Linked DNA regions of Saccharomyces cerevisiae S288C. The protein of the gene in region 1 purifies or fractionates together with the protein of each later gene. This does not show direct contact. Each region holds a gene or a part of one and is shown in the gene's direction. Other genes may lie near its edges. The genes, in order: DSE4 and ARA1.

What was found.
Region 2: the proteins of DSE4 (region 1) and ARA1 purify together in Saccharomyces cerevisiae (affinity purification with mass spectrometry, with the first as the bait; one large-scale study listed by BioGRID). This does not show direct contact.

The regions. Positions count from the first base shown.
Region 1 is NC_001146.8:742,605-760,688, reverse strand, and holds DSE4 (endo-1,3(4)-beta-glucanase), read left to right. Parts: upstream 1-1,589; coding exon 1,590-4,943; downstream 4,944-18,084. Other genes in the region: YNR068C (uncharacterized protein), read left to right, coding at 1-622; YNR066C (uncharacterized protein), read left to right, coding at 5,654-6,964; YNR065C (uncharacterized protein), read left to right, coding at 6,989-10,339; YNR064C (epoxide hydrolase), read left to right, coding at 10,681-11,553; PUL4 (Pul4p), read right to left, coding at 11,923-13,746; PUL3 (Pul3p), read left to right, coding at 15,346-16,329; YNR061C (uncharacterized protein), read left to right, coding at 17,149-17,808.
Region 2 is NC_001134.8:536,513-552,635, forward strand, and holds ARA1 (D-arabinose 1-dehydrogenase (NAD(P)(+)) ARA1), read left to right. Parts: upstream 1-3,474; coding exon 3,475-4,509; downstream 4,510-16,123. Other genes in the region: RTC2 (cationic amino acid transporter), read left to right, coding at 63-953; YSW1 (Ysw1p), read left to right, coding at 1,364-3,193; TBS1 (Tbs1p), read right to left, coding at 4,697-7,981; APD1 (Apd1p), read left to right, coding at 8,516-9,466; U4/U6-U5 snRNP complex subunit SPP381, read left to right, coding at 9,864-10,739; RIB7 (2,5-diamino-6-(ribosylamino)-4(3H)-pyrimidinone 5'-phosphate reductase), read left to right, coding at 10,948-11,682; DNA-directed RNA polymerase core subunit RPB5, read right to left, coding at 11,850-12,497; HSP70/90 family co-chaperone CNS1, read left to right, coding at 13,259-14,416; SLI15 (Sli15p), read right to left, coding at 14,592-16,123. UniProt on the Saccharomyces cerevisiae protein: Catalyzes the oxidation of D-arabinose, L-xylose, L-fucose and L-galactose in the presence of NADP(+).

The DNA.
Region 1 (18,084 bases):
ACCAGTGAGGTTCCACAGTGATTTACTTTTAAAGAAGCACAAATACAATGAAATTAAGAAAATATTTAAGGAAATTTTGGAAAACATTGAAGCATATCGCGATGAGTTCACTAAAAATCAAACAAAAATAAACTTACTTCTTGCCGATGACGCAAGAGCTAGCCTGCGTAATAGATCGCTCGATTTTTCTGATTTAATGCCTTCGAGTATAATTAAGGACGTACAGGTTTTAGCCAATATGGAAGCCAATGTTGTTGTCATGAAAAATGCGTTGAAAACGAAGTTGGTTGGAGAGAAAAGTGTGCCTGTTGCTTCTTCTCCTATATCCAGCATAATTCCTCGAACTTCTAGGAATAAAAAAACCTCCCCATCAAACTATCACCATTCGGTACTTTCACATCGGAAATCAAATGAATGGAATCAGGTCAGTTCAACTGAGTATAAGAGAACACTGTTATTGAATATAAAATATAATGATGATTTTAAAGCTACCATAGTGCCAAGTTTTGAAAGTTGTTTATGCTCGAGGTCATATTTCCTCCGCGTAAAACTTCATTTTGATAAAGGTGTTGGATCTGCTGAAATTGATATCCCAGTTCAAGTTAAAAACTCTTTTATTTGATAGATGGCTGTTAAAAAGAATGGTTTCACTGACGAAGTTTTTATCGCTATTGATATTACAGTATCATTACTGATAAACACCTTAGTTCTTGCAGAACTGAAAGTGATAAAGCAAGGAAACAGTGCGCAGTAGCAATCTCTTTTACGATTGTTCTGCGTTTGCCAAGGTATTCTCAAAATACTTTAAGTACTAAAAACCTAAATAATCTCTATACATAGAACTTTGAATTTTCATTGTTTAAAAAAATGTACGGAACTGCTAAGAAAATGTACAAGGTAGTGAAAGCCCACAGAGAGGTACATTTCAAGTGATAAACTTTGCTTTTTAGATTTGAAAATGTGAAATCTTACCACTCTTTAAAGCGACCATACTAGTAATAACGCAGGAATAGTACCACTAAATGGGTTGCCATCAATTTTATGCGCTGTAAGCTGCGCATATGTTTCCTACTTAAGGTTATAAGCATAGAACTGGCCTTTCCTTCAGCAAAAGAATAGAATAAGCCTGCTTGCCAAGAGAACTTGCTCGATAGCGGAGTGCTAGCTATTTTATGACCAATTTGGTATTTGCTGGCATATTTTTGAAAGATCTGGCTTTCTTTTCTTTTTTTCTCCCCTTTTTACCTGAACCTTGTTACCGAGTTCAGCTGCGCTAAGCTCTTTTCGGCTATATTTTGTTATGAAAGCCAGCAGAAAAGGCACGAAATCTCCCAATTTGGTTACCAAGGAAAAACTAGTTAATCATAAAGCTGAACCCAAAAAGTTAAAAATAAGAGCTGGGTATGAAAAGAGTAGCAAAGCATATACACCATACGAAGACTACAAGCGAGGGTAAAGGACTACATATAAATACTTGGTGCAATTTGTTTCAAAAATGAATATCAAGTATGTTTCTTGTGCTTGTTTCAACAAGTAGATAACCATAGTAACGGTCTGCATACAGAAAAGAAAACAAAAAAACAGCTAGTATGCAATTATATCTGACACTTCTTTTTCTATTAAGTTTCGTCGAATGTTCATATATAAGTTTCATATCGAATAATGCAGACGAAATATTGGAAACTGATTTAATTGAAACTTTATCTTACGCTACTTTGACAGTAGGTGAGCCTTATGTTGCACAATCGGTGGTTGTAACAAGAGTATCTGCAGCTTCTCATAGCCCTCTCTCAGTTTCGCCAAAAAATAGAGTGAGCGCATCTCCAATTAATTCACAAGACAGTGATTCTAATACAAGAACAGCAGTTCAACTGTCATTGTCGTTATCAAACTACGCAAGCCAAGTATCTCAAAAAATAAGCGCACAAACCAATAATGATCCTGTCACTGTTTCAAATATTTACGCAAATGATAATTCGAAAAGCAAAAGTTCAGTACACAATTTGAGTTCGGTTTCCGGCGTCGCCTCAGTCATGCCAAGTGCATCAACAATGCGTAAAGTCACCACATTATTATCTCAAACTGCTTCGACTTCGACTTCGACTTTATTTTCTTCATCTTTATCTATTTCGGGGACACAATTAAATGGAACTTTATTGACTTCTGTTTCAAAAGGTACAATCGATCCACTGGTAACTCAAATGCCTTCCTATTCTTCCCAAGAAACAAAAATTATTCCTTCTTCATTGACCTCGAATAAAACGATATATACTATTTCAGTAAGGACAAATGCAGCTACAGCTACCGGCGAAGATTCCTTCATTGCTTCAACTCCTGCTTCCTCGACTTTGTTCTATCCATCCAACTCAACCCAGGATTTAGTCCAGACGCTCGCATCTACAACAGCAAGCCCTGCTTACCCATCTAATAGGACACAAATCACTCTTTCTCCATCTGTATCACTATATTCGACAACTAGTCCAATTTACCCTTCAAACATTACAGAAAACGGTTCTTCACCATCACCATCACTATCATCGACTGTTAGTCCAGTTTATCCATCGAGTTCAACAGGAAACATTCTTTTGTCATCACTATTTTCAACAGTAGATTCTTCTTCCTCTCCGGTTTCTTCGACATTAGATACCATTTATGTATCTTCTTCAATGCAAGCTACCATCTCTTCGTCCTCATCTTCGAGACAAACAAAAACTTCCTCCTCTTCTCTGTCAACCTCGACCAGTAGCACCGCTACCACAACGGAGAACTCTTCAACAACGACCATTGTCAATCTTTTCAATGCTGTTTCGACAGATGAACCACCAACTGTTTTTGACAGATCACCAAATCCTATGTCATTGGCTGATGGGGTGTCAAACGATGGTCCCATTCAAACAAACAAGTTTTATACAAATTTGATTGTTGGTAGTCAGGAATCACCTGCCTTTGTGTATCCTTATTCATTGTGGAAGTACACCTCGAGTTCATATGGTTTTGCTGTTCAACATACAACAGTAGATCAATATAGCTACGGTGGTTATGACAGTTCCGGTAATGCAGAATATTTGGTCAATCCTTTGGGAATTGCTCATGTTGTTTTCTCAGCTTCGAATTTTGATTCAAGTATGACTATGCAAGTTGATGAAATGACCTTGTCTTCAACAAGGGTAGTGCTATCAGAATCCAATGATTCTTCGAACTACCTGGAAATACCTTTGGTTCAAGGTATGGGATTTGCAACTGGTATATATCATGGATCTTTAAATGCCAAGATTGGTTCCAGCGTCGGATTCAATACCATTGTTTCTGAATCATCAAGCAATTTAGCTCAGGGTATTCTCAAATATCGTATCACCCTTTTGAATGGAGTCACTTGGTTATGTTACGTGATAGGACCAGACGATTTAACCTCAACGGACTTTTCATTGGAGGTGAGCTCAGAATATGAAATTAAAGCAAGCGCTAGTGTTGATGGTCTTATCATTCAATTGGCCGTCGCACCTTCTGAAACTGATTACGAGGTCTTTTATGATCAAGCCGCAGGTATGTACGTTACTAATTTCAAGCTGCAGGGTGTCTCTGACGGTTCTACAGCTACCTATGAATTTTCTTATACCACCCAAGGTGAGTCGGCATCAGGTAGCACAATGATTTTTGCCTTGCCCCATCATGAATCTTCATTTAGTGATATAATGCAAGACTACTATACCGGCATTCAACTCGCTTCTACAACTAAGGGTGTAATGAACGGTTATCTAACAACGAGCCTACAATTTTCCACATCTCTAAACAGACAAATATCTTGGTTACCATGGTCTTCTCAACTTGGCTCAAACCTTTTAGAGTATTCTAAAGAACAATTGCAATTATTAGCTGAAGTTGCCAATTCCGAATTACAGGTTAGTATTTCCGAAAGTATAAGCGGGTTAAACACATATTATTTGGGTAAAGTTATCGATAAGTATTCTTACATTCTATTAACGGTCTCCGAAATCATCCAAGATGAAGCCAGTACTAAGAGTACTTTGGAAAACATCAAATCGGCCTTTGATATTCTGCTACAAAATGAACAGACGTATCCACTAATTTACGACACAAAGTTCAACGGTTTGGTCAGTTCAGGAGATTGGGGTTCCACCAGCACGCAATACGATTTTGGTAACACTTATTACAATGACCATCATTTCCATTATGGTTACATTATTCATGCAGCTGCTGTCATCGGCTATGTTGACTCTAAACTGAATGGTACTTGGGCTGCCGACAATAAAGATTGGGTCAATTCATTGGTAAGAGATGTCGCAAATCCATCTGAAAAAGATGAATACTTTGCACAATCGAGAATGTTTGATTGGTTCAACGGTCATTCATGGGCAGCTGGACTTTATGAAAACGGTAACGGTAAGAACGAAGAAAGTAGTAGTGAAGATTACAATTTTGCCTATGCTATGAAGTTATGGGGGGCCACTATCGGTGACCAGTCAATGGAATTGAGGGGTGACTTGATGATTAGTATAATGAAGGATGCAATGAACGACTATTTCTATTATCAAAATGACAACACAGTTGAGCCTGAAGAAATCATAGGAAATAAAGTGAGTGGTATTTTATTCGATAATATTATCGATTATACTACTTATTTTGGAACAAACACAGAATATATCCACGGTATTCATATGCTACCTATCACACCAGTTTCTTCTAATATTCGTTCTGAGACTTTCGTCGAAGAAGAATGGCAGACTAAAATCGAGCCAATTATTGAATCGATAGAAAGCGGCTGGACAGGCATATTGAAGCTGAATCAAGCACTCTTCGACCCAGTAGATTCGTATGCATTTTTCAGTGATTCAACTTTTGATTCATCCACATATTTGGATAACGGAATGAGTCGCACATGGGCATTAGCATTTTCAGGGGGACTGGCCAACTCAATTGCTTAGAAAGAGAACTTGGCAAGCAGGTCTGTCGAGTCTTTCCCACTACATACATATTTTATAGAATAAATCATTTTTACTTAACTTGAAAGTTGTTGCGTTCGAAAAGACCACGGCTAACGGAGACCACTTAGGTAAATGCATGCCAGTAAGAGGTATATTAGTACTTTAATGAATGAACTTAGCAAGGTAATGCCTGCACTAAAATAAAATTCTAACGTCATCCTAAGAAGCATCAATTGGACATAGTGAGGAAAAGTTTTCACCATTTAAAATTTGTTTTGCAGAATACCATTCTAGACTATGATCCCTTAGAGATTCTCATTCTTTAAATATCAGCTTCAACAGCATATCTTTATAGTATTATCGTACTACTGGCGACATTAGCAAATCAAAGTATTTTTGCTCAGTTTCTAGTTTTATCTGTTTGATTCCCCATTAGATGGTAAACACGTTGTCTTGATGACTGAAAAGGAAGTGAACATGGTCAACTCAAAATAACCAGACTCAAAATAATTGCAATTACCTAGGCTAGATATTTTTAGAATATTATGAGAATATTTTTAGAATATTTGCAACCCAAAATATATTTAAATGCCGCCAATTTGCAACCAAAAGATTATCCGCTACCTTTTTTTTAGTCATTGAATCGTAGCATAAAGTTCCGAGCTTTGAAAAAAAGCTTTGAACTAAGAAAAGGTAAGAGATCCTCAATTATGATATTACTCCAAGTCATATGCACGATTTGGACATGTCTCTTTATTCCGTTACTCAATGCAGAGGAATTCGTCCCCAAAGTAACGGAGACTCTTTCAGAATATTCATTTAGTCTAGAGAGCTTTGACGATTCCAACAGTTTAATCAGATTAGATAATCAAGTCGTGTGGATAAGTTCCGATTCTGGAGAAAATTGGGAAGCGGTCAAAGAAATTGAAGGGCATATTCTCGAATTAATTGTTGATCCTTTGCATGGACAGGACAGGGCTTTTGTTTCGATACATTTATCACCCAAATTTTACGTCACCGATGATCGTGGAAAATCATGGAGGGCTCTGACTATACCCGTCTCTGAAAACTGTCGTTTGGGTACTTCTTGCTCTATAGCTACCCATCCGACAGATAAAAAGTACCTTATTGCAGATTGCCCTTGCTTTATAAACGACAATGGTTATATCCAAATACAAAATGAAACTTACTTTACCAACGATGGGGAATCCTTTTACAATATCGAACCTTCCTTGAAAAAGAAAGAAGATGACCATATAACAAGTTCAAGCTGCAACTTTGTCAAATCTAGCAAGGATTCTGATATTGAGGGTAACGACGCTTCGATACTATGTTTGTTCTCGAACCATGGTTACGATAGCGATCGTCACTTAAGTGCCGCATATACACAATTAGCCTTAAGTACTGATGGAGGTAAAACTTTCAAAAAATTTGATGAGTTTAATGATAAAATTATTTATCAATACAAGATATTAAAATCACATATAATCGTTTCGACACAAGATGATAGATACAATGAAATGTCACCCATGGACATCTGGATATCCAATGATGCGTCTACTTTTCAAAAGGCACGTCTACCTGCTCAAGTACGGCACGTCCATATGTATGGAATTTATGAAGATTCTATTGGAAGAATAATCATTCCTATATCTACGATATTCACAGATGAAAAAAACGACCAACCAGCTCCCTCAGAAATTTTAATATCAGATTCTCAAGGGTTGAAATTTTTACCTGTTGAATGGACAATAAATCCTCACTTTGGTTATATTGATATTGCTTCTCCTCATTTCTTAGAAGGAACAATAATTGGCTCGTTTCATCCTTCCTTTGACTACTCTCATAACAAAGGAAAATATAATAAAAAGATAGCCAGATATGAAACTAAAATATCTGTTGATAACGGCCTCACATGGTCAAATTTGAAAGTGGTTGACGAGGAAAATGCAGATTCATTCCCTTGTGATATCACTAGGCCTGAAAGATGTTCGCTCCAGAACCCTTTTTATAGTATCTAAATCTCAAATCCTACTGCCGGAATTATGTTAATGACAGGTTCCGTTGGCGACGGTAGTGAATTCGATTGGGAAGACCAAAAAACTTTCATCTCTAGAGATGGCGGTTTAACGTGGAGATTTGTTCATAATTCTTCTGGGTTATATGCTACTGGTGACCTGGGAAATATTATTGTGTATATCCCATATGATCCAGAGGAAGATGGCGATTTTCAATCTGAATTTTATTATTCTTTGGACCAAGGTAGAACATGGAATGAATATGAGCTGACCAATGCCATAAGTTCTGTCCATCCCTACAAATTGATAAATCCAACACCAGATGGATCTGGCTCAAAATTTATTTTTAAAGGAACGTTTGCCACTACCGATTCCGAAACCAACAGTATAACTTCTTTAAAAGGTGTCGAGTATATAATTGATTTTTCAGCAGCATTCGACTCTAGAACGTGTGAGGAGGAAGATTTTGAAGATTGGGATTTGGCGGATGGGAAATGTGTTAATGGCGCCAAATACAAGTATAGAAGGAGGAAACAAGACGCCCAGTGTTTGGTAAAAAAAGCATTCAAAGATTTGAGTTTAGATGAAACGCCTTGTAATAGTTGTGGTGAATCCGACTACGAATGTTCGTTTGAATTTGTTAGGGACGCAAACGGCCTGTGTATACCAGATTATAATCTGATTGCCTTTTCCAACATATGTGACAAATCGAAGGATAAATCTGTGTTAGTAGAGCCATTACAATTAATCAAAGGTGATGAATGTAAAACACCCATGAAAATTGAACCCGTTGATATTCCGTGTGACGAAATTCCAGAGGAGGGTTCGAGTGACAGGGAAATAGTGACCACTGAAAACAAATTTGACTTCGAAATTAAATTTTACCAATACTTCGATACAGTTGCCGACGAATCTTTGGTCATGCTGAATTCGATAGGAGACGCCTATATATCCCACGATGGTGGACAAACAATAAAAAGGTTTGACACTAACGGCGAAAAAATTGTTGAAGTTGTGTTTAACCCATATTTCAATTCTTCAGCATATTTGTTTGGCTCTAAAGGTAACATATTCTCAACACACGATAGAGGACACTCTTTTATGATAGCTAAATTACCTGAAGCCAGGCAATTAGGTATGCCACTAGATTTTAGTGCTAAAGCACAGGATACTTTTATTTACTATGGTGGCAAGAATTGTGAATCAATCTTAAGTCCAGAATGTCATGCAGTAGCATACCTCACCAAAGATGGAGGTGAAACTTTTACAGAAATGCTTGATAATGCAATTCATTGTGAGTTTGCAGGCACACTCTTTGAATATCCGTCAAATGAGGAGATGGTTATGTGCCAAGTAAAAAAGAAGTCTTCAGAAACAAGAAGCTTGGTTTCTTCGATAGATTTTTTCCAAGGTGATAATAAAATTATCTTTGAAAACATTATCGGCTACTTGTCCACTGGTGGCTATATTATTGTTGCCGTACCTCATGAAGACAATGAGTTGAGGGCATATGTAACTATTGATGGTACTGAGTTTGCCGAGGCAAAATTCCCGTATGGTCAAGATGTTAGTAAGCAAGAGGCATTCACTATTTTAGGATCTGAGAAAGGATCGATATTTTTACATTTAGCAACAAACTTAGAATCAGGACACGATTTTGGAAACCTTTTGAAATCCAACTCGAATGGTACTTCTTTTGTCACTTTAGAGCATGCCGTTAATAGAAACACATTCGGTTATGTCGACTTTGAAAAAGTTCAAGGTCTTGAAGGTATTATTATTACCAACATCGTTTCGAATAGGGAAAAGGTTGGAGAGAACAAGGAAGACGAACAATTGAAGACGAAAATCACCTTTAATGACGGTTCAGATTGGAACTTTTTGAAGCCTCCAAAGAAGGATTCGGAAGGGAAAAAGTTTCCCTGTGATTCTGTATCATTAGATAAATGTTCTCTACATTTGCATGGTTACACTGAACGTAAGGATATCAGGGATACATATTCCTCCGGTTCCGCGTTAGGAATGATGTTTGGTGTCGGAAATGTTGGCGATAAGCTTCTACCATATGAGGAGTGTTCCACTTTTTTAACCACTGATGGAGGAGAGACGTGGACTGAGGTTAAAAAAGGCCCCCATCAATGGGAGTACGGTGATCATGGTGGAGTCTTGGTTTTGGTCCCCGAAAACGCAGAAACTGATTCTATTTCTTACTCCACCGATTTTGGTAAAACATGGAAAGATTATAAATTCTGTGGCGACAAAGTCCTCGTAAAGGATATAATCACCGTTCCCAGAGATTCTGCTTTGAGGTTTTTGCTATTTGGAGAAGCAAAAAACATGGGTAGTGGTTCATTCAGAACGTATACAATTGATTTTAGAAACATCTTCGAGAGGCAATGTGAGTTTGATATTACGGGTAAAAAAAGGGCAGATTTTAAGTACTCTCCTCTGGGTTCCAGAACTGGTTGTCTATTTGGTCATCAAACCGAGTTTTTACGTAAAACCGATGAAAAATGTTTTATTGGGAATATTCCACTTTCTGAATTTTCGAGGAACGTCAAAAACTGTTCATGTACGAGGCAAGATTTCGAATGTGACTATAATTTTTATAAAGCCAGTGATGGTACTTGTAAATTAGTCAAAGGCTTAAGTTCGGCGAATGGTGCCGATATCTGCAAAAAGGAACCCGACTTAATTGAATACTATGATTCCTCTGGCTATCGAAAAATTCCCTTATCAACCTGTAAAGGTGGGCTGAAATTGGATGCACATTTAGCACCACATCCTTGTCCGGGAAAAGAAAAGGCATTCAGGGAAAAATATTCTATAAACACCGGCGCTTATGCGCTGGTTTTTGTTACAATTCTTCTCGTTATTTTCTTTGCCGCATGGTTTGTATACGATAGAGGTATCAGGAGAAATGGGGGATTTTCAAGATTTGAAGAAATAAGATTAGGAGACGATGGGCTGATAGAAAACAATAGGACCGATAGAGTTGTCAACATCATTGTAAGACTAGGATTATGCATTTCTTTAATTACCAAGTCTGCATTTCAACGCACGAAGGCAGGTGTAGCACGCTTTTCTTCAAAATTAAGGGCAAGGTTTGGCAACAGAAAAGGTCCTACTTACTCTTCGCTGCTTCAGGGTCAGTTTTCAGATGAATCAGATGGCTTGCATGAAGATGCTAACGATTTATCCAGTTTCACAAGTCAAGACAGTAATTTTGAAATTGAACAAGAAGATGCTTACAGACCCGAACAAGAGCACACGTCACAGATAGACCAGCCTGCCACTAGCAATATTCCAGACGCATTGCCAGCACGTAGTGCTATTCACAAGCCTGATTCAACTGCTGTGCGCAACGAGGACGAGTAAATAGATTTTTTTAATAGACTAAATAATCGTATGTTTGCTAACAAAAAGTACGCATATGCATTTTCTCAATATTGTGCATTTTCTAAATCTCCATTCACCTTTGTTATTAACATAGTCATTTAAAGGTATGATAATTCAGTATTCATCTTTTCCACAGACGGCGCTGCATGCCATTCGTCTGTAACTTGCCTAGGGACTGCGCCGCACATAATCGTGACAGAAATTTCAAAAGTGATAGGAGCCAAAAGTGATAGGAGCCAAAAAGAACATATATAAGCACGATCAAATTAACTGAACTTGACCACTTTTCTTTCACTGTCAGAATTGGACGAAGGACAAAAATGTCAAATATCATTGCAAGATTTCACAAGATTCAAGTTCAAGACGGTGTAAAGGTTTGGTACCGTGAGGCCGGTGCAGCAGGTAACCCCACAATTTTATTGCTACATGGGTTCCCTACATCTTCCAACATGTTCAGGAACCTCATTCCCTTACTAGCTGGACAGTTTCACATCATTGCTCCGGATCTTCCTGGGTTCGGATTTACGGAAACGCCAGAAAACTACAAGTTCAGCTTTGATTCCCTTTGTGAAAGTATAGGATATTTGTTAGATACTTTGAGTATTGAAAAATTTGCCATGTATATATTTGATTATGGATCTCCGGTAGGTTTTCGGTTAGCCTTGAAGTTTCCCTCCAGAATTACTGGCATTGTTACTCAAAACGGTAATGCTTACGAAGAGGGTCTCGATGACCGCTTTTGGGGTCCGTTGAAGGAATATTGGAAGTCATATCAAAGTGATCCGGTATTTGTTAAATCCCTTATCCCGTACCTTGAAGATCCAGCTAATGTCATATGCCAGTACCATGATGGAGTACCAGCTATCGAATCTGTTGATCCCGCCGCTTATACGCTTGATATTGCGCTAATTCAGCGTACCGGCCAGACCGATATTCAATTGAGATTATTTTTCGATTATCAGAATAATATAAAGTTGTACCCAGCCTTTCAAAAGTTCTTGAGAGATTCAAAGATTCCTGTGCTAGTTGCATGGGGTGCGAATGATACTATTTTTAGCGTTGCCGGGGCTGAAGCTTATCGGAAAGACGTTGATAATTTAAAGGTTGTTTACTATGATACTGGCCATTTTGCGCTTGAAACTCACGTAGTTGCTATTGCCGAAGAAATCATCAGTATGTTTGCAGAAAATTAAAGATACTAAGTTCTTGTGACAATGTTTTCTGAGAAGAATCTCTCGTATTTTGTTTAATTGCCAAAAACACATATGTTTCGACTCACATAGAGTTGCCTCAGAGCGTTCTTTTGTTACCCATTATTGCTCATAAATAAGTCAAAACAGATGTCTGGTCGCATTATCAAGGGTTTGTACTGGTAGCCCGGTGACAATATATTAATCTAAGCATATAACATTTTTAGTAAGTTCTTCAGCCACCTTTTTTACGATCTATGTTGTTTTGAAGGGTAAACCTACTACCATGTCATATGGATCTTTCCCCTAGTAAACTTGTATCTCAAAAGGTCATTTCTGAATAAAGTGTCAAAAAATCAGCTAGGAAACGGTTTAGTAAAGTATGCGACCCCAAAATTCGACAAAGCTATCACCACTCAGCTGTACTGGACTGATCGGATATTTGATTATATCAATAAGGTTTTGTTCAATAGGAAGTACCTGAACTAAATCTTGCAATATTTCCAATGCTAGAATGTATTCAAATAGTTCAGTACCTTTAAGGAACTGCACCACCTGCTTATACCTTAGGAGTATAATACATGAAATACATAATGTCAGTGACGCTGTTCTTAAAGGATAACAAAAATTCCAATCCAAACGTTCATGCCTTTCCTTTTCGTTATCGGGAAACTGTTTAGTGTATTGACTCCATATTTCGTGAATTATTGATTTTGCCATGGTTACTGCTTGTAAGGATTCTCCAGTGATCAGATACGGACGATATAATAGAAAAGAAGCTTGAGCTCTTAAACATGATAGCTCTAACATTAAGACTCTGCTCCTGTAAAAAAGATGTTCTTCGAATATCGGAAAGCCTTTTAACCTGGTAATCTGGAGTGAAACCTCCTCAAATTCTCTTTCTAAGTTTACGAATGGTACCTCGTTTGCGGTGCTGGAAGTATATAGCCGTTGAAAAATCTTACTTTGTAGAGTGGCTAGCTTGATTCTGATTTGCATGAAATCTATCAAAAGTTTATTAGTTTTATTGCGGGGGGATATTTCACACGGCAGAGGTGTTGTAATTTGTTCCAAAGTGATAAAAGGATTTTTTCCATGAATTGTTGCCAACATGCAAGAAGAACACCAAATGTTCCAAAAAAGCAAGATCACACCAATTCCGTCGCTGTTCGACTCAAGTAATTCCTTGCATTTTGTATTGTTGTTCAAGTTTAAAGCCACAGCAAGTTGTAAAGCATTTATACTCAAATATAATTGGTGCTCTAAGGATATCATCATCGTCATGAAATTTGCCATTAGAACGAGGCCGCAAAATCCATCGATTGTGGGATGAGATAACAAGTCGGGAACAAGCGTTTTCGCAGCATTATAGTACTTAAAAGCATCAGTGGTCAGTTTTGAAATACTATTCTCCGGCAAAAGTGGACGATTGTCTATGTTCGAATGATTCAATAGTTCCCTTTTTCGTATGGTCAACGACCCCAGGCACAATACAGTTGAAAGTAAAAACTTTTCATCACTATTTCCTTCTGTACATTCCAAATTTGGGTATTGGGATTCCAGCTCATATAGATGCCATTTTGATATTCCTGGTACGGAGTGAAGCTTGTTCTCAAACAAGACATCGATTAGCCGAGACCTCGTAGGAGCGTTATCTTCGCTCTCAGTTTCTTTAACCACACCGCTTAAGCCTGTAGCAGTAGGTGAATAGGAAAGACTTTTTTGTTCCTTTGAAGGTGAATTATCGCCTAATAGTTTTAAAAAGTCATCGAAATCTGTTGTCTCAGTGTTAAACTCATCGAAATCAAAATCGATCGGAAGAGAAGTGTCCCACCCGTCATTATTAAAAATCACAGCATCATTTGTGCCAAATCTTGATATATCAATATCTGAATCGAATTTTGGCGCTTCTTTCTCATATATATGAGAAGAAAGGTCTTCATTTAGTCCTTTGTTCTCTAGTATAGAGTTATTCCCGTTATCGATAGTATTATTCTTGAATAAAAAAACCTTCGACCCGTTTTTGATTTTTCTCTTGTCTTTCCTTTTATCAATATTATAAATGCATTCTTTTGGTGTATTTAGCCTTATACATCTTCCACATGGCTTGTTCCCATCGCACTTCAACTTTCGTTTCCTACACACAGTACAGGCCAAACTAATAGATCTCTTTCTAGCGTCCTTAGATCTGTCCATACTGCTTGTTGCGAACGCTTTTGTAGTTTTAGATTAAGCTCTCACAAGGGATATTATTAAGGGAACTTGATGGTCGACTTTAATTGAATCTTAGATGACAGCATCAAAGAGAACAGACACAGTTTTTCAGCGATGCCCGTAAAAACAATAGATTTTTTTTTTAAGTCGAGATGCTTACAAAGTAAAGAGCCTAATAGACCTCTATGTAAAAAGCATCAGATTATTCTTCAAACTCAAGTGACTTGGCAGCTACTGTTTTAACATACGGGCAAACAAACTTTAGGTGGAACGCTGGTTTCTGAGGTTTTCGAATTTGGATACTTGCCAGAGGAGATAAAATGTAATGAAGTTTTCTTATGACAACTTTTATTCTGTACTGGCCTAATAATAAATTAGTTTTTACCAAGAACATTGCATGTGTGCCATCGGAGCCATTTGCCAAAGACCAGTTTCTAGATAAATACATTCTTGAATGAAGTTTAATTTCTGATATTTTGTTAGCTTCAAAAGTTATTCATAATACTCTCACTTTACTAAGTTACATCTAAATATAAGGCTCAGGATATCCTTCTGGGTGAATAGTTCTCGAGAAAGCCCATTAAAACTGAGCTATTCTATATATGTATGCTTGAGTGTAGAGCTCGAATTATATAAAAAAAAAAATACATTACTGTGATCCGCCAGGAAAAGGCAGTAAAAAAAGCTGATACATATTTACAACGGCGAATCGCGAAGACACTTACTTTTCTCACATGCCTTTGTCTTTATGCTTACAAAGGACCACTTTACTTATTCTTCTAGTCTTTCGCTTCGACGTCGGAATCTCAAAAAAATATGGGACAGCTGTCTGGAAATGGGGGACAGTCTAGGTAATTAGAATTACCAAACGCCTACTGTTCTCTTCTATTACTAAAATAAGTTGATTTTACTATTTTGATACAGAAGTATAGCGCCCAAACAAGCCTATCCCATTCTAAGCGGAACAAAATTTCCTAATCTGGAAAAGAATCGCCGTCAATAAATAATCATCATATAAAAGATCAGTTAACATTACTTTCTAGTTGTCAAGTACTCTTTCGTTCTTCTTAATTGTATCTCAATTGCATTACAAATCCATCCATTTCACTCGACGGTGGTACAATAAATTAAAATGAAAAAAATCTTAGGTGTCAAGAAACACATGTTTTTGAAATACTTGGCTGTAATTTTGATAGCTGTCCAATTCAGTTTCGACTCCTGTGTATATCTCTCAAGTGTGGTTGACTACATCAAAGAAGTAAGTGTTAATGTAAATCTAAGATAATTTCAATGAACTAGTATGCTAACAATTTAGAGAACGGAGAAACCAATCCGGACAAATTCTTGTTCAGAATTCAAGCCATTTCTGCAGCAGTTCAAGTTTTTGTTTCATTCATTATTGGGGATATTGCTGCTTTTCTTGGGTCCATTAAATGGGTAATAGTGGGGCTTTACTTTTTATCCTTTGTGGGTAATTTTTTGTATTCATGCGGCGGTGCAGTGTCGCTAAACACCCTTCTCGGTGGGCGTATTATATGTGGTGCAGCATCTGCTTCTGGTGCTATAGTGTTCAGTTACATCATGTCAATTGCACAAGATAGGGGTATCGTTTTCAAGCTTCTATCAATTTATCGAGCAGCGGCTGGTATCTTCATGGCGTTGGCACAATTAATTGTCATATTTTTTGGATATTGCGATTTTAAAATTAAAGGGTATCGCATTGCCTCTTACAATGCACCGACATTTGCCTCCAGTTTCATAATTCTTGCAGTATGCCTTTTATTAGTTGTCGTTCTGGAAAATCCTGAGGTTAAAGTTACAAATTCGGAAAATAGCCTTTTCAGTGCTCTGAAACAATTTTTTAGAGTCGAAAGAAAAAAACTCATCTCCTGCTTGATTTTACTATGGAGCATGTTCCTATCGTCATTTATTATGAGCGAAGTAGTTTATTTTATGCCACTATTCCTGACGCTCCACGTTAACTGGGACACCAAGTTTCAAGGCATAGCGTTTATGGTCGCATCTATACTTGGTGTGACTGGAAGCTATTTCGCTCCAAAGTTAATAAACGTCGGGTGCTCCTGCGGCAGAGCCAAAGATGGCGGATTAGAAGAGTCAGATACAACTGGAAGTGAGACCGTTGAGGTAAAGAAAAAAGATTCGCTGTACAGCGGTCAAGTTTTTCTGTCCATCTTTGCATTGTTTGTTTCATTGCTGGGACAAGCTTTTATGATTGGAGCATCCGAAGCCTTGAAGCATAAATCAATGCCACCCACAAATTCTGGTATATTTTTTTCAGCTGGGATGTCGATTACATTGTTAGGGTACAACTTTTTGGCTTCGAGCATTCCAGCCCTTTTTTCCATGTACATCGACCCCAAACTCAAGGTCCAGTTGATGCCTTCAATTGGAGCAATCTCTGGGATTGGTAAACTGGTGGCACCGATTGTATTAGCAGCTCTTTATGGCACAAGATTGGGGCTTTCAATTGCGGTTGGATTTGGTATGATTTTGGTAGCTGTTTCAATTCCACCGCTTATTTGGCTCAGGAAAAAAAGGTGTTAGATTTCCTTAGACATATACTGGTCCAAATCCAGCTATATATCGGGTGCCATTGACGTATATTTTTTCGAAGAACTTGGACGACAAAAAGTCAGCCTCTTTTTTATGGCGTTCTATCAACAAATTTTACATTTGGAAATGATAGTGTATTATCTTTACCATTTCTATAGTGATATATCCGGACTAATCTTTTAGCGGCCATAAATAAATATTACTAATATTTAAAGTTTCCTTCTGATTTATTCTTCTATTATATTCAAACCAGTTGTGGAAAAGTGTGTGCCTCTTTTATATGGCACTTTATACTGAATGATGTAATCAGTTTGCATGGACGCCAAAGCTTGTATTTTAACCAAGGTTTTTTAGAGTTTGGCCGCTTCAAAGTTAAAGACGTTAGGCAATTCGCATAACCTTTTCTTTAATCTCAATATATTATTCTAATCTTATTCTGCAAATTGTCATTGGAATTCGCTTCCGATTTGCTGTACTGCTTGCTGAATAATATCTGCTCTTGCATTGGCAGGTGAGAAATGAATACTATCTTTTAAGGATGTTGGTTTATAATCTCTCGGAGACTAAAAACCAACTTCTCAAAATGATTTATGTATTTGCCCAAAGTTAAAATTGCGTGTTTCCAATTACGTATGCGATATGTAAAAAAATTAAAAAAGTGAATGAATAAGCGACTTTTCGAGTTGCTATTTTTTTCTTGGTTCAACAGAAGTAAAATATAATCAACCATAAATAGGAGAATACAGGCGGTGCTTACAGCTTGATATTTTGTTACCAAGTCAAGATCTATAATAATAACTCAATACATATATGTTAAAGTTAACAACAACATCCGTTACTTTCCACGTACTAAGATATTTCCAACTTGGCTTATCTGTAACTAACTTGTTGTTAGCTAGTTTTGCCATAATCACAAACTATAAAGTGGATCGAATCCTTAGATTGAGCTTAGCTGTTTCAATCATATCTTCAGTTTATTTTGGGATTGTGAGATTTTTGCCTGTTCTGTTAATATTCGTGATGGAAATTGTTCAGACCGTCCTGTGGTTTACCGCTTTCGTAACTCTAGCTTCAAAATTTGGTTCTATGTCCTGCTCAAGTATGCCACGGGGTATAAACTTTGATTATTCAGGTTCTTGTAAGATTGCTAAAATAGATATTTTACCAGAAGCCGTTTTATTCATACTATTTCTCGCTACCACATATGCTTCTTATATCACAGTCCTATCTCAAGCTAAGGAAAATGGGTCAAGCACAAGATCTGTTTTGAAGGCTTGTGTGAAGGCATTACGTGATACCGTGGACCGCTTGGAGACCAGTCTGGAAGAGAGTGAGCCTCTTTTAGATCTTGAAGTTCAGGAAGATGCGAGGACTGAAACCGAAAGCATTGAGGATTCAACTGATAGTGAGGATAATGCTAACATCGAACAAGAGAAAGTGATTGATGGTTCAATTGAGCATTCTTCATGATGAACCAAATGTCTTGTAGTGCATGCTGTTTCTGACTTTGCTTAATGGATTTTTTTAGTTCGACGATGTTCCGTATATTTTAGAGGCACACACTTTCACTTTTCCTATGTTGAGTAATGAAGGCATTTGAAGTTACGGAACCTTATAGGTGTCAGCACGCTGTCATTCCAGATAATTTTGTGTCTCCCTTACCTCCACATATGAATTTGGAATACCAATAATTACCTCTTAAAAGGTTTCAGAAGACGTTTACTATTTAATTCTTAGCTACACATC
Region 2 (16,123 bases), on another chromosome or scaffold:
CCACAATATTTTGTTATAACCCAGACGTAATAGCCTCAAGCGAGCATCCCTAAATTTCTGCCATGAAGCTGATCCCAATTATTTTGAATGCTAAGAATCTCAGTGGGATGGCTGGATCCATATCAATATGCTGTTGGATTGTTGTGTTTGTACCACAGATTTATGAAAACTTCCGAAGACAGTCTGCGGAGGGATTATCACTGCTTTTCATTGTGTTGTGGCTATTAGGTGATATATTTAACGTCATGGGAGCTATGATGCAAAATTTACTCCCAACCATGATAATTTTAGCTGCTTACTATACATTGGCAGATTTAATTTTGTTAATACAGTGCATGTGGTATGACAAGGAGAAGAAGAGCATTTTACAAGAAGTCAAGAAAAATGTTGATCCTGTGCATTTGCCTCCAGCAAACCCCATAAATGAGACTGTCTTACAAGACGTTTTTAATGAATATGAGCCACTTTTGCCAAGGATAGAAGAAGAAGATAGCCAATCGTATAGCTCGCTTGAGCTTGGCAGAACAATAGTCGTAAAGGAAAGAGAGAATTTTTTCAATGACTTCTTAATTGTTTCAGGTGTACTTATTGCCGGAATTTTGTCATGGTATATATCTTACTGTTCCGGCCTAGATAACGGTATTCCTAAAAAAAAACCTGCGTTCGAACAGATTAATTTACCTGCACAAATTTTAGGGTATTTAAGTGCGATACTGTACTTGGGCTCTAGGATCCCTCAGATTGTTCTTAACTTCAAAAGAAAATCATGCGAAGGAGTCTCATTCCTATTCTTTTTATTTGCATGCTTAGGGAACACTTCTTTCATAATCTCAGTGCTCTCAGCATCTTGGCTTATCGGTAGCGCTGGTACGCTGTTGATGGACTTCACAGTTTTTATTCAATTTTTCCTTTACGCCAAACCTAAATACGAGAAAATACTAATAGATAATTAACTAGTTGGCTTCTATTAATCTTTCCACTTAAAACTCAAACTTACTCATATGCGCATCGGCTATAGCCCAGAACTAGTATTTTCATTTTATGGAGGAAACAAAATTACTAGCGCCATCACGGCTCAGTCGTTATTTTGGCGATGCCCTTTGCTGACACGCGTCTGAAAAAATACACAAAAAATAACACAAAAACGAGTAATGCCATTTCCTGGGTGGGGTCTCTATCCATAGAGGAAAAAAAGTGACAGGAAGGGGACAAATTCAACTATTCACTGTAGTCATCTAATAATTTTTTTAACTTAATCACACCAACAAAAACAAAAAAAAGCTAAAACTAGGTTGAAGGATTTTAAGAGAAGTTATTGCACCGGTGTATTAACATATATAAGGATACGTACGAACATAACATCATGTCCAGCTTAGCCGATACAGTAGAGGGTAGCGAGGCCAAACGCGGCAGATTTTCCAACAATGCATTAACCTCCGATACTGGTATTTTACAGAAAAATAGTACATTAAGAAACTGGTTTTTAAAACCGACAGCAGACCTAAAAAATAGTTGCGAAGATAGAGTTGAAGATGACGTCAATGATGTCTACTTAAATGACAAAAACTCACAAAAATCTGTTGAAGAAAGAAAACTAGGAAGAAAAGTTAGATCTTTTTTCAAACAAACAAACTCAAATAAGGACGAGTCTGTGTTGGAAGATGAAGATGATGCGTTAGTTTGGAAGAAAACTAGCAATAAGTGTGCAAAAAAGGAAAATTCCCATGACATCCAAAAAGGAAGTTTCACAAAAAAAATCAGAAACAGTATTTTCAAGAGTGCAAATGACGTGAAAGAATTCAGGAATGAAAATAACTTACTATTGCCCGTTGAACTTTCTTCTGATGATGAGAATGAGTCTCATTTCACTGATGCTAACTCACATGTTATGCAATCAAAAAGTCCCGAGAAAATACCTTCCAAGGATCAATGCTTGACTAAAGGCGCTAAGAATAAAGGTCTGAAAAAGGAATATGAAAAAAGTTTTGAAGAGTATAGCGACGACAGTGACGATGAATTTTCTCCTGCTACTCCACCGGAGAATGTTCTTGAAGGTCCTTACAAATTTGTGTTTCAGACACCAAACACATTTACATCTCAGCCTAATATAACAGTAGAAAATGATTTTCACAAAGGTGGGAGACATGTGATTGACTATCTGAACAAAAAATTGGCTACTATGAACATTGATATTGATTTGACTTCAGGGGGGAAACAAAACGTATCTTGGGAGGAAGAGCTCGACCAATTGAGCGACCACGTTATAGAAAGTATTACTAACCACATTTCAAAGGGTAGAATGCACGCACAAGAGAAGCAAGATGAGTTGGAAAAGTTAAAATTGGAGAATTTGAACTTGTCAACATTAAAGCAAGAAAATCTCCAACATAAGCAGGAAATTAACTCATTGAAAGACAACCTTGAATCCATTAGTAAAAAAAACAATGATCTTATATTGGAAATGAACAAATTGAAAAAAAAAAGTACGAATAATAAAACAAATGAGTACATATCTACGGATGAAAACGAAAATGAGGAGATTACCAAATCCAATATGGGTCCTGGCATTTTAGAACTGAACGTCAACGAAACTTCAAAAAAATTACAGCAATCCACATTCAAACCCTCGAAATATCTTCCAAGAGAAACGAGAAACAATGAAAATAGATTAAAACACTTGGAAAAGAGAATATTTGGCTTAGAAAAATCTCTTGAAAAAAAAAAAAAACAGGTAAGGGCTGACAGCGTTAGATTAGACTTGAATAGATATACTATCGACCAGTTTTTGACATTACTGAAAAGCCTCAGCGAGGTTTTGCAATTCCACAATGTTTATGGCAATGATTTGAAGGAAAACGACGATAATATTATAAAGATTGAAACCTGCTGTAGTGCGCTAAACATGAAAAATTGTTTCGAAGACTCCTCATTTCGTTTACAAGAAAACAGCTTCAAGAGGCAATTGGGCCCTCTGTTCGCAAACATCAACTTCTCCTTAATCGACCAACTGACAATGAACTTCAGGTTCTACGAGAGATCTGCCAATTTCCAGAAGGAAACAATAGGTGGGTTAAGAATGATGCTACAAGATAAGGATAACTATATCAAAACACTGATGCAACATTTGAAGAAAAAAGAGAGTACAAAGTTGATAAAAGACAGCAAGAATGGCGCCTCCACCTTAACATCTTAACAATTTCGTTTACTGAAAATGCTACTAGTATATAATCATTAAGTATCTAACTATCACTCAATAAAAATATTATAGATCGCTTAAAAACTCGTTTATTGCCGATTATAAATCCACCAAAAGCCGCTCTACCCTTACCTCCGCCTGGAAAAATTATAATATATAAAGTGAGCCTCGTAATACAGGGGTAAAAAGGAAAGAGGGGGATATCAAGCATCTGGACTTATTTGCACTATCTCCGCCTTCAATTGATAAAAGCGTCTTGATTTTAATCAACTGCTATCATGTCTTCTTCAGTAGCCTCAACCGAAAACATAGTCGAAAATATGTTGCATCCAAAGACTACAGAAATATACTTTTCACTCAACAATGGTGTTCGTATCCCAGCACTGGGTTTGGGGACAGCAAATCCTCACGAAAAGTTAGCTGAAACAAAACAAGCCGTAAAAGCTGCAATCAAAGCTGGATACAGGCACATTGATACTGCTTGGGCCTACGAGACAGAGCCATTCGTAGGTGAAGCCATCAAGGAGTTATTAGAAGATGGATCTATCAAAAGGGAGGATCTTTTCATAACCACAAAAGTGTGGCCGGTTCTATGGGACGAAGTGGACAGATCATTGAATGAATCTTTGAAAGCTTTAGGCTTGGAATACGTCGACTTGCTCTTGCAACATTGGCCGCTATGTTTTGAAAAGATTAAGGACCCTAAGGGGATCAGCGGACTGGTGAAGACTCCGGTTGATGATTCTGGAAAAACAATGTATGCTGCCGACGGTGACTATTTAGAAACTTACAAGCAATTGGAAAAAATTTACCTTGATCCTAACGATCATCGTGTGAGAGCCATTGGTGTCTCAAATTTTTCCATTGAGTATTTGGAACGTCTCATTAAGGAATGCAGAGTTAAGCCAACGGTGAACCAAGTGGAAACTCACCCTCACTTACCACAAATGGAACTAAGAAAGTTCTGCTTTATGCACGACATTCTGTTAACAGCATACTCACCATTAGGTTCCCATGGCGCACCAAACTTGAAAATCCCACTAGTGAAAAAGCTTGCCGAAAAGTACAATGTCACAGGAAATGACTTGCTAATTTCTTACCATATTAGACAAGGCACTATCGTAATTCCGAGATCCTTGAATCCAGTTAGGATTTCCTCGAGTATTGAATTCGCATCTTTGACAAAGGATGAATTACAAGAGTTGAACGACTTCGGTGAAAAATACCCAGTGAGATTCATCGATGAGCCATTTGCAGCCATCCTTCCAGAGTTTACTGGTAACGGACCAAACTTGGACAATTTAAAGTATTAAGACAACGACTTTATTTTCACTTTATTTAGTTCGCTTCTTAATCTTGTCAAAAACAAGATATTGTGTAATCGCCTCAAGTAAACAATATGTTTTTCATACGTGATTTGAAGTTTTTAAGTATCTGAAATACATACGCGCGCGTATGCATATGTATTAGTTAAATTACTCGAATGTCCTTTATATAATATTACATTTTTACACACACATTCTTGAAGAAGAAATCCCGATCGTAAAAAAAAACACCGTGCTCCAAATGGCCTTCAATCTTTTCGAATAATTTATTCGATTGTTCATTCTCATCTCTATAATCATTCGCCGTACGTTCAGGATATGACGCATCAAGCAGCGAAGCTAAACCTGTTGGAAATAAAGATCTGTCATAGTCATCGTCTTCTTCATCATCATCAGCACCATTATTACTATAATCATCATCATTGTCATCATCATCATCATCATCATCATCATCATCATCATCATCATCATCATCATCATCATCATCATTAATATTGTTGTCATTGTCATTATTGTTACTGTTACTGTAGTTATTGTTATTATTATTAATAGTACTACTACTATTATTGCCATTTTTATTATTATTATTATTATTATTATTATTATCGTCAGTATCATCAGCGCCAGTAGTCTCGTTATTATCAGTATTGGTACCATTACTATGATGATATTCCTCGCCTGGCTCAAGAGTTTTATTTTCCCACAATTTCGGAATGCTTGAAAATTGCAAGAAGTTCAAATCCTGGATTGTTATTTCATTGAAAATATTGAAGGACACTTCCATTTTTTCTTGGTCCTCTGTAACGAAACTACCAAATGCAGCCATCTTCTCTTTATTTATGAACGAAGTTTTCAAGAGCTCGACCATATCATCTTTTGATTCTCTCGTATGCTTAACTAACCTATTGAGAACACCCTCATAATAATTTGAATCAAAGGCATAGAATTTTGCGTATTTACTTGTCAGATTGAACTTTTCCATCGTACTCCGTAGAAAAAAAGTGTAAAAAAAAAGAGATGTTTGCCACTTCAGATTGTGTACTGAAAGACAGCGTTCTTCAGATCCAAGCATACGGGTATGTGTATCCCTCAATAATCCAATTATATAACCAGTCTCCATGGCATGTTCGTCATTAACCATAATCTCTGACAAATACAGAAACATGGAAAAAACCGTTGTGAGAGAAAAATACAGAAACTCATTCTGAACAGTAGGGTAGTATTCAAAATCTTTCAAAATATTAAGTACTTCGATGCAATTTCGCTTGAAATCCAATCTTGACCTTCTAATAATTTCAGCTATATCATGCCGGGAACTTTCCCGTTGATCTAAGTTATCTCCAATGATGGATATGACAAATAAACTCAGGGTTATCTTTTGATGGTACCATCTGAGGTGTAATAGAATAGTAGTACAACAACTCACTTCAAAATCTAACTTCGAAGAATCCAAAGATAAAATCCTCATGTTTTCCTTGTAATTTTCTAATGATAATATGGTGGGCAAATCGTCTCGCATTCTATCTAACGCCTTTTGATTTTCCAGTACATTTTCAATGATTTCATCTAGTGTATCGTCTAAAGTTGTTCTGATGGAAAAACATGAGTAATATATTTGAGACTCTATGAGGGATAATCTCGACAAAAAATATGATTGAATGTATGGTACATATTCAAGGTGATTCGCGAGTAAGTTTACAACGGATACAATATCTTTCACCCCTTCTAGTTTTGAATCATCGTATTTTATAGAAAGATTGGGCAGAATTTTATCTCTGAATAGTTCAACATAGCTTTCATCTGTTAATACATCAGTGTTTTCCTCCTTGAGAAAGGGCGGTCTTGACAACACCACAGAAAAGAATTTGTCTGTTGAAAAACAATAACACCACAAGCGTCTTCTTTTAATGATTTCATCAAGTTCTAGATCCTCATAGGTGGAATGTAAATTGAGCCGTAAATCCAAAGCCACTTTGATAGCAACGGATAGTACTTTGACCGCTGATGAAGCACTTATTTTTTGTTGGGCAAACTTTGCCAGTAACAGTAATGCCTTTAATGCCGTCATATCTGCGCGTGCTACAGACAGTTTATGGTAGTAATAGACAGAATTGAGAAAAGTGAAAGATCTGAGTCTCCATAATTCGAACTTCTCAAAATAATAGGTTTCATGATTATCTTCATCAACTAGCTCCTGCTTCTCCTCAAAATTTGTAACGGTGGCCCCAAGGCAGAGGCAGATATTTAGCAAAAATGCCTGTGATGATGTCAATCTTCCTTTAGCAGGATCAAAGTGCACGTCGGCAAATTGCAAACATTGATCTACATCCACTATGTGGAGAAGAGAGGCTAATGATGGACATTTTATATTTTTGAGCAAACGCTTTGCAATTGCTAAACGGGGCAGAGGATACAAAATATTATCACTAGATGGTGATGATGCGGATCGGAAAGAGAAGTCCAGGACCAGCTTGGTCTGTAAAATAGAATATTTGAAAGTAGTAGTAAACATTTCATTAATGGGCGAAAGAAATTCTTCGTCAGTTAAATGTGATAAAACATTTTGTCGAAAATGAAACATTTTTTGTTTTGTTAACAAGGCCTTTGAATATTGCTTTCTTTTAGGCCTTTTCATGTATTCTTTATCAATGACGTCAATTTTGCTTTTTTCAGCTAGCTTCTCTATTGTTCCCTTCATGTTTTTACAAATCTCTTCCAAAACAAAAACTTTCCCAGCAACCTTCGTATGGTTGAGTTCAATTTTTTCAAGCACTGTCCTGTCAATAGGAACAAAGTCAGGCCAAGTATCTTCTTTATCGCTTGCACTTTTGCCGGCAGAAACTCCAATATATTCTTGTGATAAGTTGGTGTGTAATTTCGGCGAGCTGTCTGTAGAAGAAGTATTTCTTGATCGCACGGCGATATCAAAATTTTCATCCTTGAACTTATTCTCCTTATCCAACCTCGGCTTCTTAACCGACTTCCCATTTCCCTTGTTATTCAAAGCTTCTTCTCGCCTTCTTTTCAGTTCTTCATGGAAATGAAACGTGCAATCTTTATTATACTTGATACAGTTTCTACATTTACCAGAAATCGGCTCGATTTCCGTACATCTAATCTTCCTCTTCCGACAATAATCACATGCTTTAGTCACTCTACTTTTGAAAGACTCCATGTTATATGCCAGAAAATTCTTATCAGCAGGCATCATATGAGCTAATGGGTGATGTCTTAAACGGTGATCCGGAAAAGGGCTCAACTGAGGCGACATTATTGTACCAGTTGGAACAGGCGGAAAATTTGATGGTACTGGAGGCATCGCAGGGACAGCGGGGCCCATTAAAACTCTTGTATTTTCGACTCTTTGATTATGTTTCTGGTTAGCTGCCCACTCAGAACTTTGCTTTTGTGTCTTATCCATGCTTCCATGACTACTTGTAATACCAGAATCCATATTCATTCACACAACTCCTGCTGGGCTTGTAATCATTGTTAACTTAAAAAAGAGTAGTCGTAATATAAAGTTTACTCTATTTTAAGTAGACTTTGGGCAGTGGCTGAAAATAGGCATGATAAATCAACATTTTCTGGCGGAGTAGGGTCAAAATGAAAATGTGGACCCTTTAGGGTATTATAAATATTTTTTAAAGGGCAATTTGAACTTTTTAGGTGCAAAGAAAATTCTGAAGGTATAAAAAAGAGGGTTCACCGGTGCTGCGGAAATAAAAGCGGAAATAAAGATGGAAATAAGGGCTAAAAGTTTCTTAAAACAAGTGCAAGGAGAGGGAGAGTTCCACTCTTGGCGCTGATGATATCTTCTATTTATATTGTTGAGATCATATGATGATAACGCAAAGTTGAAATTCTAACCGAATAGTAGTATAACATACTGGTTTTCTTTCTGTTCGAGGTATAAGAAAAGAAAGTACTTGGCTATATTCGGAGGAGGCAAGAAGGCGGCCAAGAGAGAGATATCTTCTTTGTCCTTTGAATTATGGCTTTTTTGAATATTTTCAAGCAAAAACGTGGTGATGAAGCTTCACAACTGAGCGCAAAGGGACGGGAGGAAATTTCTCAATCGATTAAGATATGCAAAAGTGACGATGCTGCTAACGAACATAGCTGCTCTGGTGATTGCAAAACAGAAATTGAAGAAGGAGAGCAGGCCTTTGCGAAACTAAAGATCGAACATGAAACTCCTTTGTTGAACTCTTCTAAAACGCCAAAAATTCACTTCGTTGTCCCCACCTCTCAAATCGATTGGCAGCATGATGCCTGCCTCGAGGACCCAAAGTCAGTACAGTATAAAATTTCCCAGTGGTGTGATAAGAATTCAGCTAAATTTTCCAACGTGGGCACAGGCAAGACACTAAACTGTGCAGTTTCATCTTTACCTAAAGATATCATGGATATTGATGTTATGCGGGGAACCAAGAATAATGTACTTATTTTGCCTTACTTCATTTGGCTGAACGACCTTAGATCAGATGACGTCGAAGCAACGCTGGATGGTTTAGTTCCTGACTTATTAGACGAGAATATTTCAAGAGAGAAATTGCTAGAAACACGACCAAATGTTGCCGTTGCACGTGAACGTGCATTTGTATTTATATGTTCACATACTACGAGGGATAAACGATGCGGGATTACGGCACCCTATTTAAAGAAAGTTTTTGACAGTAAATTACAGGAACATGGGCTGTATAGGGACAATTCGGATTACAGGGCAGAGGGTGTCAAAATTGCATTTGTTAATCATGTTGGTGGTCACAAATTTGCTGCAAATGTTCAAATTTATTTACGAAATCCAAATACCTTAATTTGGTTGGGAAGAGTAACTCCAACCATAGTTCCTTCTATTGTCGAACATCTGATTGTTCCTGAAGAACCAACGTTGCCGTTTCCCGAAAAAGTTCGCTGTATTAAGAAATATCAAAGCTGGTAAAGGTTGGCCAGCAAAATACAATCTTTTGACGCCATAAAATTTGCCATCAGAGTAGCTTTTAAATGTACATAGTTCTAAAGCACGCATATATATTTATAACGCTAAGATGATAATGAAAAGTTTTATTTGCAAAAGGGATCCTGTATTTCAACTTTCCATACATGAAAGATTCTTTGGCCATTTTCTTAATCCATTTCATATTTTCATCTGATTTTTTTTCTGTTTTCCACTTGCTGCTCATTATTTCATTTTATAATTTTTGCAAACATGCAATATTTCGCCATATATTGAGAAAAGCAATTCTTCGTTGTTCCCAGTAAAGAAAGAACAAATGCAGATTTCTACCGCCACCGCTAGATTAAGAATTTTTTTTGGTTACTGATTTGAATCACATACGATGAGTTTTAGACATTTCAAGAGGAGACTTGACACAAGCTCAGCAGATGAAAGCTCTTCGGCGGATGAAGAGCATCCAGACCAAAACGTATCTCTAACAGAAAAATCAGCCTCATTAAGCCATAGTGATTTGGGCGGCGAAATTTTAAATGGTACAGGAAAGAACCGCACCCCCAATGATGGCCAAGAATCAAATGAAAGTGATGGGAGTCCCGAAAGTGATGAGAGTCCCGAAAGTGAAGAAAGTAGCGACAACAGTGATTCGAGCGATAGTGACGATATGAGACCTTTACCGAGGCCATTATTTATGAAGAAAAAGGCCAATAATTTGCAGAAAGCTACCAAGATAGATCAACCCTGGAATGCCCAAGATGACGCACGAGTTCTGCAAACAAAGAAGGAAAATATGATAAAAAACATCGACAAAGCTAATCAAGTGGCAAAGAACTACGAAACGATGAAGCTGAGACTTAACACCAATTACAGCACCAACGAAGAATTGATCAAGCAGTGCTTGCTCTTAGATGATAACGATGAAGTCGATTCAGAAAAGGAGAGACAGAAATGGTTTGAAAGGCAGAACGAACGAAAGCAAAAGCATAGAAGAATACAACTTGCGAAACAAAGAGAATCAGAAGAATATGAGGCAAAACGATTTGAAGCGATGCAAAAAGGCAAAGATGGGAATACCAAATACGACGTTATCTTGGACAAGGAGAAAGAGAAACTTGATCACAAAAAACAAAGATCGGCTGAAAAAGTAGAAAAATCTCACAATAACAACCGTTACAAGATTACAAGAACTAAAAATGTTGAATTTGGTGACCTAGGCAAGAATAGTAGAGATTACGAAGAAACTGAATATTCGGTTATATAACACCGCATCACACACACAAACCCACATGCCTTTCAGTTAGTTGATGTCGGGAAAATCCCGAAACAGAAAAAAGAGGCAAAGATGAAGATATCAAATTTTTTCGCAGAACCATTACATCTGGCTTTGGATACGATGAAACAATCTAGCAGAAATACAGTACCAACCTATTGGTAGCTTCTTTGTATTACTATCAACATTTTTAGAAGATATGTCTTTGACACCACTGTGTGAAGATTTACCACAATTTCTGCAAAACTATCTACCGAATGCTGGTCAAACGGAAAATACCATTGTGCCCTTTGTCACACTAACTTATGCTCAATCGCTCGACGCGAGAGTATCTAGGGGCCCTGGAGTGAGGACTACAATTTCACATCCCGAGACCAAAACAATGACGCATTATTTGAGACATCATCACGATGGAATACTCGTAGGAAGTGGAACAGTGCTAGCTGATAATCCTGGATTGAATTGTAAATGGGGTCCCGATCCGGCTGCAAATTCCCCAAGGCCAATAATAATAGATACAAAGCAAAAGTGGCGATTTGATGGTTCAAAAATGCAAGAACTTTTTATTAAACGACAGGGTAAGCCGCCAATCGTTGTTGTCACAAGTGAGCCCATTATAAAAGAACAACATGTAGACTACGCAATTTGTCCAATAAATGATACTACGAAATTGGTCGATTGGAAGAAATTGTTTGAGATATTAAAAGAAGAATTCAATATAAGGTCAGTAATGGTTGAAGGAGGTGCCAATGTAATAAATCAGTTGTTGCTGAGGAGCGATATTGTCAACAGTCTTATAATAACTATTGGATCAACATTTCTGGGTAGCTCAGGCACCGAAGTTAGCCCACCCCAAACAGTAAATTTAAAGGATATGTCATGGTGGAAGGGCATTACCGATGTGGTGCTTTGTGCGAGACTGGCCGATGACTAATAGTGTTAGAACTCCACCTTCTGTGTAATTTCTTTCTGAAATTAGTGAAAAAAACGCGCCTTTCAAATTTTCATACTAGTGATTGGTTTATTGCAGATTATTTATTTCTAATTGTACATATTCTTGTTATTTTATATTATATGAAAGGGGTAAATCCAAATGCCACTCTACATACAGATTCTGTAACTGGCATAACGACCAGAGGTTTCACTTTTTCTTATGATTTTAACTACTTCGCCTCTTTTCAATCCCAAGTATAAGGCTACAGGATCAGCTCTTTGAATTCTTGGCAATTGGGATTCCTTCAATCTATACCTTTTTAAAAGCTCTCTTTTCTCATCACTACTCAATCTGATATGCTTTGGAACCAATTCGTGGTGAGTAATATTAACCACTAAGGCAGCTTCATTAAAAGTTTCAATGGTGGCTGGTGGTATAGAAGGCACCAATTTCATTGCACTTGGTGTAATATTATTTTGGTAAACAAAGATACCTGTTTGGAAATTTTTTTCTTGAATATGTATAACAAAAGTCTTCATTGTCTTTACACCAACGGAAGGCTCATCACAAAATTCTACCCATAAGGAGCCCATGTCTGGGAACTTTGATATAGATTCTTCTGTTGGATTTGCCTGGAAGGACATCATTTTACGTTGTGGTCTGCCCATGGAGTCACAATACTTGGCCTTGAAATCTTCCAATGGCAATTCGACTTCCTCTTGAGTGATAAAATAACCCCTGTCCTTAACCATTTCTTTTACTGTTCTGAATGCTCTCCATAATCTTGAGATGTTTCTTTCATTTTCTTGGTCCATTGTCTTAGCTTATTAGTAATATCCACCTGCGCACAAATTTTGTAAATCCCCTACTAATTTAATTTGAATTCAAATTGGCTCGTGATCTGTTGACCCTTGTTAGCAACGTTTGTAATCTTCCTCACCGAATTGCGTCGTTTTGAATAATATATATGATTGAAAATTTTTCAAGAGAAAAGAAAAATTTTTCCTTCCGCGGTCAGCCATTGCTAAAAAAAGGCCTCCGTTAGGAGTCGAATAGAGGACAACAACAATACATTGCCACTTTAATTTTAAATGCTTGCATATTAACTAGCGATCAGATGCTCTGCTCTATATAAAATAAATTATTGATACGGTTTCTAGTCTCGGTTGATGATAAGAGTACGTTAATCCACCTACCGAGCATTACCAAGATATCTGGCACTTTATATGTAGAGAGTCTGTGTTCTCAAGTTTACTTGTGCGGATAATGAGCTTAAAGACTTAAATACTAAAAGCGTATGCGTTCGTATCTCTGTTTAGGCACCTTGTACAGTTTCACAGAAAACTGTGTAATGTGTGATTATAGTACACAGAACAAAATAACTTCACCTCATCTCTTTCTTAACGCAGTGAGGAAAAAGGTGGAAAAAAAAGAAAGAAAAAAAGAATATGTGTAATTTCCGGCACTTTTCAGAGCGATGAGCTTAAATTCAAAAGCAGCATTGAATTAAAAGTGAGGTCTTGAGCACTACATTCTAGCAAGTAAAAGAAAAGAATAAATTGGTTTTGCATCTAGAATGAGCTCCGTTAACGCAAATGGAGGATATACCAAACCACAAAAATATGTGCCAGGGCCAGGTGATCCTGAACTTCCACCCCAACTATCCGAATTTAAAGATAAAACATCGGATGAAATCTTGAAAGAAATGAACAGAATGCCTTTTTTCATGACCAAGTTGGATGAAACAGACGGTGCAGGTGGTGAAAACGTGGAGTTAGAAGCTTTAAAGGCATTAGCTTATGAAGGCGAACCACACGAAATCGCTGAAAATTTCAAGAAGCAAGGTAACGAACTATACAAAGCAAAAAGATTCAAGGATGCAAGGGAACTTTACTCAAAGGGCTTGGCTGTAGAATGCGAAGATAAATCAATAAATGAGTCACTATATGCCAATAGAGCGGCATGTGAGTTAGAGCTGAAAAATTACAGGAGGTGTATCGAGGACTGCAGTAAAGCTCTAACTATTAACCCCAAGAATGTTAAGTGCTACTATCGTACAAGCAAGGCTTTTTTCCAATTAAACAAGTTGGAGGAGGCCAAATCAGCCGCAACATTTGCCAATCAAAGGATTGACCCAGAGAACAAATCAATTTTGAATATGTTATCAGTGATTGATAGAAAAGAACAAGAATTGAAAGCAAAAGAAGAAAAACAGCAAAGAGAAGCTCAGGAACGTGAAAACAAGAAAATTATGTTAGAGAGCGCAATGACGCTGAGAAACATAACTAACATCAAAACTCACTCTCCAGTAGAGTTACTTAATGAGGGTAAAATAAGGCTAGAAGACCCAATGGATTTTGAATCTCAATTGATCTATCCCGCATTAATTATGTACCCCACGCAAGATGAATTTGATTTTGTAGGTGAAGTAAGTGAGTTAACTACTGTGCAAGAACTTGTTGACCTAGTTTTGGAAGGGCCGCAAGAACGCTTCAAAAAAGAAGGTAAGGAAAACTTCACACCAAAGAAAGTGTTGGTGTTCATGGAAACAAAGGCAGGTGGTTTGATTAAAGCTGGTAAGAAACTGACATTTCACGATATCTTGAAGAAAGAGTCGCCAGATGTACCATTGTTCGATAACGCTTTGAAAATATATATTGTGCCAAAGGTAGAAAGTGAAGGGTGGATTTCCAAGTGGGATAAGCAAAAAGCCTTAGAAAGAAGATCTGTGTGAAGTGTCAAATAGTTAAAAATATGTAACGCAAAGTTGTAGATAGAAATAACAAAGCAAGAAGGAAAAGTAAAGAAAGTGAACGATATACGTAATGCAGGGGGAATACCAGAGTATTTAAAGTGTACTTGATTTAATGTTAACCAGTTTGAATTTTTCTTTTCTGGGGTAATCGAATTCAAGACCTTTTGGGCACAATTTGACGCGGTTTCAACCTGTTTAGCCTAGGATTTGGGAAAATTTCATCGGTGTGCAAAGGCGGAATTGGTCCAAAGATAGTTTGTGGATTTATATCTTGCTGTCTTATCAATTGCTCTTGCAAATACGGGGATTTAGCCCATGCCGCTAAAGTTACGCTAGCCTCATCTTCAGAATCAGTATTTATCTCTGGTAAAGAATCATTGACAGAGGCTATCTTTGGGGTCACATTTCCGATTATTTCTCGATGGTCAACTGTATTTATTGTGGCCAATATATTGTCGGTACTAAATGCAGTATTTTTGTTGATGGTATCTCGCACATGATTATCGAAAGGAGCCAAAGATTCTTTTAGACGTATGTCCTTGTAGTCATTACTAAAGCTTGTTTGCTTTTTTAGATCTTGTTCCAAATGCGACATCCTTTTTTGTTTCTCTTGTTTACGCCGATGATGTTCCTGTTGAGACCTCATAATTCCTGATAACCTTTTATCAAACTTTTTTTTTAAGTCATCTCGTTCTGCCTCTGCTGGTGGAAGTAATTGAAGGTTTGTAAGCCGATAATTTTTGGATTTACGAGACTCTGGCTTGGAGATGTCAGCAATATTCGGAGAAAGTTTTCTTAATGTTTTCTCTTTAATTTTCAAACGATGTGGCGTTTGCGACGTTGTTAAATTTTTATTTTTATTAGGCGAAATAGACGCTTTTGTTGGTCTCAAATAACCTCTTACAGGGCTTTGGTAATAATTTTTAACTTCTTTAGATGGCGAGCTTGAATCGACACTTATTTTTGTTGGAGAAATACTGTGCGGTCTTGAACCAGTTTTATGAACATCACTAGAGTGTTTGGACTTCTTTTTCTGTTCTGCAATGATTGCTAGCTTTTTGTGTGTCGTTAGCTTCAAAGAAGTCTTATCAAACCTCGGAATAGAGGATTTTCGAGAGTTTTTTCCTTTGGGTGAATTATTTTTGGTTATTTTATTTTTTACTGAGAATATATCTCTTAACGCTTCTTGCATATCAGTATCCGTGGAGTTTATTGACTTAAACTTTTGAGAAACTTTTTTCATGGGGGAGCCTGTTAAATCGATTGATGAAGAGGAGTATTTGTGACCAACGTTTCCACGGGAAATTTTGTTTTCAAATGATTTTGTTGGAATAGATGATAGCCTATCGAAAACACTGGATGCTTTTGTAGATCCCGCGGTATCACTGTTTTCCACAGCTCTTATAGCAGGACTATTTATCGTAGATTTTTTTTTAAATGCGATTGGTGATTCCTTTACTGTTCGTACTTTTGGTATTGATCCTGAAGATTTTGTTGGTGGAATGTGTTGAATAATAAGAGGATCTTTATTCGGCAGTGGAACAAACATATTCGACCTTCTTTGAGATCTCGCTATCCCAGAATTCGGTGGTGGTTTCACCTTTACTGATTCAGCTTTCTTTAAAGCTTGAAGTATAGGTTCATTCTCCATTTCTTCCTTAGCCGCCCATGTTTGATTATCGAAGC